Linked DNA regions of Nothobranchius furzeri. The protein of the gene in region 1 binds, or shares a complex with, the protein of each later gene. Links are inferred from orthologs where the notes say so. Each region holds a gene or a part of one and is shown on either strand. Other genes may lie near its edges.

Region 1 (4,310 bases):
TTACTATCAAAATGTATTTATTTTTCAGCTATTTTAAAGTGCCGTGTTGGTTTCCACTCGGGCGTCTCGTCGGTGCGTTCAGGGGTCAGGTCTGATAGGATTTTATATTTCTGCTAAGTTTTTGGCAGTAGAGGTTGAAGAAACATCACAGATGTGATCTTCTGCCCAGTGTTGGAGATTAAAGCAGACCGGACGCACTTCAAAGCAGCTGAGAAATCCCCGAGTCCTCTTGTAGTCTCTCACAGGCGTTACGCTAAAATGTTCTTTTTCAGGGTGACTTTGGATTGTTCCTGAGATTTTCTGGTTTAGCATATGCACATTCACAAACCCGAGCAGGAGTCCAAGGCTTCAGGAAGTCACATTGTGCCTTTTTTTACTTCAGAAATGAACTACTGTAGCCACAATAGGGGTGTTGATCGTTTAAAATCTATGCAATAAAAAAAAAAAAAGGCAAAACGAAGTTTATGCCTCGTGCACAGAGTTGTCTCCAGGTGGGTCGGGACAGAAAGCAGGTTTCAGCTTCGGCTCATTTTAATGGGATTGTTATTGTTGAAGATGGCGTTGATGCGCTGCATGGTGACTCACTTGTGGGCCATTCCCATCTGTACCGGGTCGGCCCGGGCCGGGTAGCCCGTCAGCCCCAGCCTGGCCCGGTTGATTCCACACATCCTTGCCTTAAGCCCATGTGGGCTGATTCTACCCACCAATCAGAGGCTTGCTCTAATGGAAGGTGTGAATTTGCTGTCAGCAGTGGGTGTGTTGGCCCTGGTCGGCCTGAAGCAGACCCCCTCGAGAAGAGGGCTGAGAATGAGCCTCGGTTGGCCCGGAAAAATCCCAGGCCACCCAGATATGTAAACAACCTACGCTACCCGGCCCGGGCCGACCCGGTACAGATGGGAATGGCCCATTGGTAACCAGACAGGAGGGAATCCATGTTAATTGTGCAATATGTCATGTCTACAAATGTGCCTCTACGTTGAAACTGAATATTCTGTCGTCTTGAGGTTTACAGCTTCTTAGGCGTTTTCCTTTTTGTATTTTTGACAAAAATAAAAAACATCATGTAACAACTTTATTTGTCTACAAAACACATGAATAAACTGTTTGTGGTGTTTCCACTTCTTAAAGTCTGTGGTTTCTCGCGGTCTTCAGTGCATTTTCTTGCGTTTCCGTCTCTGGGTGAACGACTCGTATTTGACCAGAGGCAGAACAACGGAGGCTTGCTTGTTTTCCTGGCTCATTTCTACCTCGTCGCCTTTTAGCCGGGACGGTTTGGTCAAAGACAGTCGCATTGACTTTGCAACTTCGATCATCCTGTAAGGAAACAACATTTCAGCGAGCAGAATTCATGTAGAACACCTCACAGACACTCTGTGACATTAGAACGAAGGAGTGGAGTTATATAGGTGCACAATAAAAGTCAGAACGTTGCAAACAGTTCTAAGTCTTTGAACATCTTAGGTGTGTTCTTGCTGTGCGTTATTTCTAATTCCATGTTGTCGTTCGTTTATAAAACACAGAAACGGTTTTGTTACCTGTTGTTGACGCTACAGTTTCGCCGACGGCTGCCGGCTTCTTCAGAGCTGACGATGATGGTGGCGTCACTTCCTTCTCTGTTTATCTGTGGGCAGCAGAGGACGTTGTCGCCCTCTACTGCCCGCTCTCCCCTCTCCGACGATGCAGTCCCATGCGTGGTCCAGCGTGTAAACTCCGTCGTCCCTGTTCATGGTCCCACATCCACGTCTCCTTATCTCGATTGCTTCCTTGATCCATATTTTGTATTTTTGTTGTTCAGTGGTTATGATCCGTGTGTTGTCCCAGTCCATTACATGGTTTTCTCTTAAGCAATGATCTGTTACGGCTGACTTCTTTATTGTACTTTCTGCTTCTTCTGCATCGTCGGAGAGGGGAGAGCGGGCAGTAGAGGGCGACAACGTCCTCTACTGCCCGCAGATAAATGGAGAAGGAAGTGACGCGCCACCATCAGCGTCAGCCTGAAGAAGCCGGCAGCCGTCGGCGAAACTGTAGCGTCAATAACAGGTAAACGAAACCGTTTCTGTGTTTTAAAAAAGAACGACAACATAGATCTAAGTCTGCTCACTTAGCCTCGGTGACTCCGAGGTCACGGTGAAGTAAGGAGAGGTCAGCAGTCATGTGACCCATATGCAGCAGCAGAGCCAGGCTGTATGCTGCTATTTTGGCCCGCATTGATGTTGACACAAAGTTCTGGATCCTAGAAGGGGAATAATAATATCAATGTCAAAGTTGGTTTCAAACACCTGGTTTAAAAATTGATGCTCAACATTCAGAATCACCTTCATACCTGCCATTGTTGAAAGTTTCAACACTAAAAGTTTTGAGCAGCTTCGTCTGAATGATCCGAGGACAGCCCTCCTCCTGCCCAACTGTATACACACACACACACACACACACATCCAATAGACAATAATAGAGCTCAATGTTTAATATTATACATTATCAAATGTGTTGAAAATGATCATTAAACTTATCGTAATACGTGAACTGCTGGTAAAACCCAGGCTTGGTGATGAGGGGTTTCGGGCTTTGACTCGACTATTTCTGCTTTTAAGTAAGATTCTGTCCCACCTCTTTCAACAAAACACGGCCAGCCTTGTTACCATAGGCACAGATAAGTCTGGGAGCTTTAAGATCGTTTATTGCCTCGCCAGTGGCTACATCACAGTAAAAGGTGTGGAACACAGAAAACCCCTTTTAAAATGACTTCTGATTATATTCAGTCACTGAGTTTTTCATGAAGACTGAACATGAAAATAGTCTCCTACACCTATCTCCTGCATTAGTTTCTGACAGAAAGTAGACATTGAAACTAGGATTTGAAAATCCCGACAGATCTGCGTCACACCGTCACTTATTATTCATGGACTCACCCATGTTGCCTCACGACGTTGAAGGCTGTTGTTGGTTTAGTGTCCAGGAAACAGCAGAGAACGTCTCAGCTAGTAGAAGCTAACCATTAGCATTAACTCATACACTGCCATTGACGACTAAAGTCATCATTTGCATGTTTTTACTGTGTGGGCGTCGGACGAGCCCCCACACAGCTCTAAAGCTTATCTTCATCCACGTATGTCACACGTCACGTGATCAGGAAGCAGAACATCCATGTGTTAGGAGATCGTTTTGGGCCGCTGCTGTAAAAAAAAGTGAGGCGCGAACCGGAAAAGCTTCTGCCGATCACAATTCAACAACAGATTATGAAAGAACGGATAACGCTCAAAATGCGTGGATTCTACCTGATGTAAGAGGTGAGTCTCCGCTTTGTTTTGGTTGTTTTGGAGTTGACATCATCATAGCGCGCATTGTTCTGTGGCTCTTAAAAAAAGTGAAAGCTCTGAAAAATGCTGGCAGCGAAGGGCTTTTCTGATCAGGAAACGGCTGGCAGTGAATGACTTAACTCCACCACATAGCAGAAGTCCAGACTCTGCTTCCTCACTGGGAGACATGCCAGTGGGATTGAGGAGGTCTTCGAAATACTGCGCTCACAGATCTACAATTTCCCGAGTAGAGGTCAGCAGCACACCATCTCCCAAGAAGTCTTGCTCCATGGTCTCACCGAACTCCTCCCACGCCTAGACTTTTACCGCTGCAACTACTCTAGCTGCATTCCAGTTGGGCTGTCGGTATCTGTCAGCTCCCTCCGGAGTCCCACAGTAAAAGACCCAAGAGGACTCTTTCTTCAGCTTGACAGCATCCCTAACCGTCAGGTGTCCACCAGCGGGTTTGGGGACCGCCGCCAAATCCACAATCATGCTTCCATTACATTTTTATTACTAAACTACCTGCTTTTGACTGTTTGTTGTGGTAATAAAAGAATTAAGTAGCTGCCATGTTCTCAGTATTTGGAACCATGAGAGAATATTTCCTGCCCGACCAAACCTGATTGTTAAACTTCGTTCAGTTTGATTCATATTTGATGAAGAAAAACCGAAACACTCACACTTCCGGCTGATGTTTTTCTGTCGAGCCAGTTTGAAGAGCAGAGAGAGGTAAAAGGCACAGCGTGCCACTTTCTCTCTAGCTTCACCCGCTGGTGGCAAGCTCTCTAGATGCTTGACAACACAAAGAAACCTTCAGGAGGAAGATTAAACACATCAGAATACAAGAAAACACCGCTGGATAAAACAAGTGTGAGCGTTGACTTTTCTCACCCTCCTTCATCGCGCATCTTCTTCAGCTCCTCAGCTGTGAGCGCTGCCATCTTTGAGCCAGCCTGTTGTAACGCAGCAAACTCTTCTGGTCTCAGGACTATTTTGACTCAGTTAGGGTGG
Region 2 (5,047 bases), on another chromosome or scaffold:
TGTGTGTGTGTGTGTGTGTGTGTGTGTGTGTGTGTGTGTGTGTGTTACACTAGCTGACACCCCAGGTCACCCTAATGGTTTTAATGTGAAGAGGATGCAGAATCAATGCCCTTTCCAGATGTATCTGTGCATGATCTAAAGCTTATATAATGAGAGTGCATGGGTTTAGTGCATCAGATCAGTGATAATGCTTATGTTATTATTTAGCTCTAATAATGCTGTTACCCTCTAAACAAACTAAACATAAAGATGAGTTACTTTGATTTAAAACTCCTCACTGAACCATGTAAACCTGCCAAACTGAAAGGTGCTAAACCTGCTGTGGACTCTAATTAAAGTTAGACTAAATAGTTTTTTAACTTTAGTCCGGAGATTAAACGTTGATCTCTGAGACAGTTCTTCGCCGTGTCCTGTCCGGCTGAAAAACAATCAGAACTGATGTCTGAGTGCCGAAGACAAGCCTTACAGTTTTTCTCTCACAGGTGGGTCAGCTACAATGCCTCACCTGAAATCAGAACATTCTGTAGTTTTTGGAAGTATTTGTTCATTTATGACAAAATAGCTGAACACTATGAAAAAATGGCATTGCTGCTTAGGCTCTGGGCAGGGCTCAGGGACAGGGACTGACTTAGCTGTTATGTACTGATCCATTTAAAATATGTCAATCATTCACATAAAGCAGATTTATATCTCATCATCTGATTAGTTAAAAACAAAATATGTTTTGTTGAGTCTGGGTTTCAAAACAGGAATGTCACTATTTTAGTTTTACTTTCTTTTACATTATTGATGAAATACAGAGAGATCAGCTTGTGAATCCAACACATGGCAACACTGTAAGTATAGCACTGTTAACACGTGGAGAGCACCAGCGTAAATACATCTTTTGTACTTTATTTATTTATTTATTAGAGAAGATAACATACAAACAAAATGCACCTTACATTATATATTCAAAAGATAATCATTACATGCATATTCAACATTTTCATGTATATGGAAAAAAAGGAAAATCTAAAGATGGGGTCACATAATTAACAGGTTATTAACTTACTAACTCAAAATCTTCTACAAAGGAAATAACAAACCAGCCTTTTTCTTTTTAACTAAATTCAAAGATTTAACTAATACTTTTAAGTTGTTTTTCCAATAGGCTAGTGTTGGTTTGGTCTTAAAAAATCGACATTTATGTATAAATTGTTTACACAAAATTAATAACACATTAACACCATAACTAACTTTCTTTTCTTTCAAAAACACTCCAAACATTATCATATTTAAGGTAAATGGGGCAATTTGAATCCCACTAGAACAAAGCCAGGCATGAAAATCTAACCAAAATATTTGTATAAAATTGCACAAAAAATAGATGGCCTAAGTCCTCCTCTTCTGTTTCACAAAATACACAATTACCAGCTTCTATATTGAATCTATCCCCAAGGAGTCTATTGGTTGGGTAAATTTTGGTCAAAAATTAAAATTGGACTTCTTTCCCTTTAGGAGCGATAGGGAAGGTGATATCACTTCTTATTTTTTCAATTTCTTCCCTTTGGAAATCTTTTAATATGTAATTACGTCTAAGTAAGTTTGGATCAAAAAGATTCCTTAATGAAGATCTTAGAAACTTATTATTGCATTTATCATCACAAAATTGAATATCTTCTATATAATACATCTTTTGTACTTATTAGCTCACGGTCTCCCAAAGAGCGCTGCTCCAGTGAACCTCCGAGCCAGCAGGGGGCAGCATAAAGGTTTAGTCGCTAACTTCAACACGACAGTCTCGGTTGTTTGTCTTCCGGTCCTCTGGCAGCATGGCGAACTTCGAGCATGCTGTGGAGGATCCAAAACATGTGGACTTGTCCAACAATATGAGCGCTGCTGGCGCCCCGGTGAAGCCGTCCTCTGCTCCGGACAGAGATGCGGGCTGCGTGGTCCCCTCCTTCGCGGCCGCGTCGGAGCTCCTGCCGGTGCCGTACTCGTGTCTGGTGCTGAACTCCCACCGGAGACACGTCGCTCTGGCGCCGCAGTACTTGAACAAGAAGAAGACTGGCATCCAGGAGGAGCTGGACGGAGAGCTGCTGAAGTTTTCCCAGAGGTAGAAAGACGAGCACAGGCGGGATTGCCTGATTTAATCACTGTGCTTGCATTTTATGGCAGTCAGCTGACAGCTAAAGGTGTATTCTTTGTGTTTTAAATGAACTATTTGATCTTTTTTTAAACAACTGGAATCAGCAGCGTAACATATCTTCAACATCAGGAGGTTTATTTGAGCTCAAGTCAAAGATGGAGTCAGGATTGTGTCATAGTATGCTTGGAAAACTGCTGGTATTCCCGTTCCAGTTAAAGCTGTTGGTTTTGTGTCTTCCAGTTTGAATGGAGTGCTGTTAGCCTATGACAACATTAGGATTTTGGGAAGAAATGGGGACATCTACAATGACAGCGGCTACATCCACATGGACATAGAAGCCAGCTTCATTGTATTTCAGCCCAAAAGGGGACAGAAACTCCTGGTAAGATGGACAGAATTAATCAGAAGTCATCTCAGTAGCACCAATTGCTGTCGTTGGTTTGTTTTCTACAGGGTAAAGTGAATAAACTGGGAGTGAGCCATGTTGGCTGCCTCGTGCACAGTTGTTTCAATGCCAGCATTCCCAGGCCAACTCTGGTGTCCATAGAGACCTGGAGGGACGCTGGTCCTAAAGTCGGGACAGAGCTGGAGTTTAAGGTGACCGCGCTCGATGCTGATGCTGCAGGAGTTCTGCTGATCAGGGGACAGCTGGGCCGGACCAGGTGAGTAGGTGCTGATGCTGAGTTGATGGTTTGTTTTAGGGCTGGGCGATATGGACCCAAACTTATTCCTCTATCTTTTAGCTGAATTCCGATATACGATGTATATCTCAATATTTTTCCTCCTGTAAAGTATTTCCAAGTTAACTCACTTCAAGCTGTCTTGAGAAATTATAAACATACATCAGTAGATTAAATGCATAAAAATGTATTGATTCTTGTCCAACTTTAACCTTAGTGCCTATTCTCAACCAGTCTGAGCTTTAGAAACACTGGTACAACTGTCTGCTAACACACACACTCACACACACACACACACACACACACACACACACACACACACACACACACTCACACACGTACACAGTTGAGAGCTAGAGGTGTATCAAATGTCCCACAGGGACTTTTTTATTATATATTTATTAGTAATGTAAAATGATTTAGATTTCATCTAGAGGTGGCCCATATCGTTTATTTCTTGTCCATAACAAAAATCTATCATGTTAGGCTAAATTTATGATGATGTTTATGTATTTAGCAGACGCTTTTGTCCAAAGCGACTTACAAGTGATAATCGGCATGTAGCCCTTGAGGCTAACAACAACAATAACAACAACAACATTGACATCAGTCATGGAGAGGAGGGAACAAAGGAGTGGACGTTAGAGGGAGGGACGGGTGCAGGAAAGGTGCTAGTTAAGAAGATGCTCTCTGAAGAGCAGGGTCTTCAGGAGTTTCTTGAAAATTGAAAAAGAAGCCGCTGTTCTGGTAGTGCTTGGAAGGTCATTCCACATTTGTGGAACGATGCATGAGAAGAGCCTGGATTGTCCTGAGCGTGGTGTAGGCACTGCTAGCCGACGATCCTGTGATGACCGGAGCGGCCAGGCCGAGACGTAAGCCTTTGCAAGAGGATTCAGGTAGATGATGCAATTGCATCTACTGAAGGTCACATGGGTCATGCACCATAGAGTTATTAGTTATCAGGGCAAACATGGCTGGAATCTATCAGTGTTGACTCATATCAGCGATTATACTGTAATGACTCAGAGTCTCTGGTTGCTCTTTTATGAGTAATATATTTGAGCTACTGTCGCCGTAACCCACGCCTTACAAACTCTTAACTTTTTCAACAGAATTGCTCGTAACGGGAGTATTTATTAGCATAACAAACCACAGCGGAAAACCCGGAGCAACATTTCTCACCCGTTGAGCTCGCCTTCAAAATAAAACGTTAACCCTATAGTTTACTATTCAAACCCTTACTATATGTTTGAAGTAATTTGCCCACTCCGGCTTTCCGTAGATGTTTCCTCATTACACAGGGGAGGGAGGGGTTTGACTCGTCTCTCCACACAAGCAGGACGGAAAACAGAACTCCGTTGGCGTTGAACGTCCCCAAATAATTAAAAACCAGAACGCCACATGCTAAGTTTAGACCAGCACATTTACCCAGAGGCTCTCAGATTGAGCAAACTTGAGAGAATACATGTAATAACCCCTTAGAGACGGAGCAACATGTCACTAGCATAGCAGTTTGACCAGTTATAAAGGTATAAAGTCATCTTATATCTTGTTTAAAAATTATACCGATATTTTAAAAATATCGGTATATCGCCCAGCCCTAGTTTCTTATATGTTATCAGTTCCTGTTTCCACCTGGGTTCAGTGTCAAAGTCACGTTATTGTTTTCATTTACATTTAAAACAGAAAACTGAAGTTACATCAGTTCCCAGGCTTTTGTCTTTTTGTCTTGCTCTTGTTAAGGAAACAGAATCCGATAGTCCCACATGTGAAATGGGGTTAGGAGTTTTAAAAAGTAAAACTTCTTCATATGTCTGCTAATGACCTCACCAATTAAACAGATTATTCATGAACATTAAATTATCAATAATGGTAGGATACACGAAGTCAGCCATCCAAATGTAACTTCACGTTTTTATTTGTTATTTTAAATGGACAGAAATCATCGTCATATAAAAATATGAACATAGCCCACCTGTTGCTCCACCAGGGAGCAGGTTGAAGCCAAAAATGGGAGGTTCCCAACAGGGATTGTGACCAATATGGCTACTAGCTAACCCAAGAAGTTAAGAAGGGCTCCGGGGACCGTGGGGTAGCCCACTCTCACAGCCGACCGACTTGTGTGTGAGGCTGTAGTCGTGCTGGTCGGCTTTGGAGATCTAATATGGACTGGGACTTTTAAACTACAAGCAGAGCCAAACCGCTGCGATCAGGAGCCCTGGCCTTTTAGATCAGC

The links. Proteins that work in one complex are often made in the same cells at the same time.
Region 2: polr1e (region 1) and polr1f share a complex: the UniProt entries of both Homo sapiens proteins name them as parts of the RNA polymerase I (Pol I) complex. The link is inferred for Nothobranchius furzeri from reciprocal best matches to the Homo sapiens genes POLR1E and POLR1F.

The regions. Positions count from the first base shown.
Region 1 is NC_091747.1:78,705,447-78,709,756, forward strand, and holds the end of polr1e (DNA-directed RNA polymerase I subunit RPA49), read right to left. Parts: intron 4,288-4,310; coding exon 4,191-4,287; intron 4,111-4,190; coding exon 3,980-4,110; intron 2,406-3,979; coding exon 2,324-2,405; intron 2,234-2,323; coding exon 2,102-2,233; intron 1,315-2,101; coding exon 1,149-1,314; 3' UTR 1,060-1,148; downstream 1-1,059. UniProt on the Homo sapiens protein: Component of RNA polymerase I (Pol I), a DNA-dependent RNA polymerase which synthesizes ribosomal RNA precursors using the four ribonucleoside triphosphates as substrates.
Region 2 is NC_091751.1:28,040,899-28,045,945, reverse strand, and holds the start of polr1f (DNA-directed RNA polymerase I subunit RPA43), read left to right. Parts: upstream 1-1,769; 5' UTR 1,770-1,814; coding exon 1,815-2,098; intron 2,099-2,371; coding exon 2,372-2,513; intron 2,514-2,584; coding exon 2,585-2,793; intron 2,794-5,047. UniProt on the Homo sapiens protein: Component of RNA polymerase I (Pol I), a DNA-dependent RNA polymerase which synthesizes ribosomal RNA precursors using the four ribonucleoside triphosphates as substrates.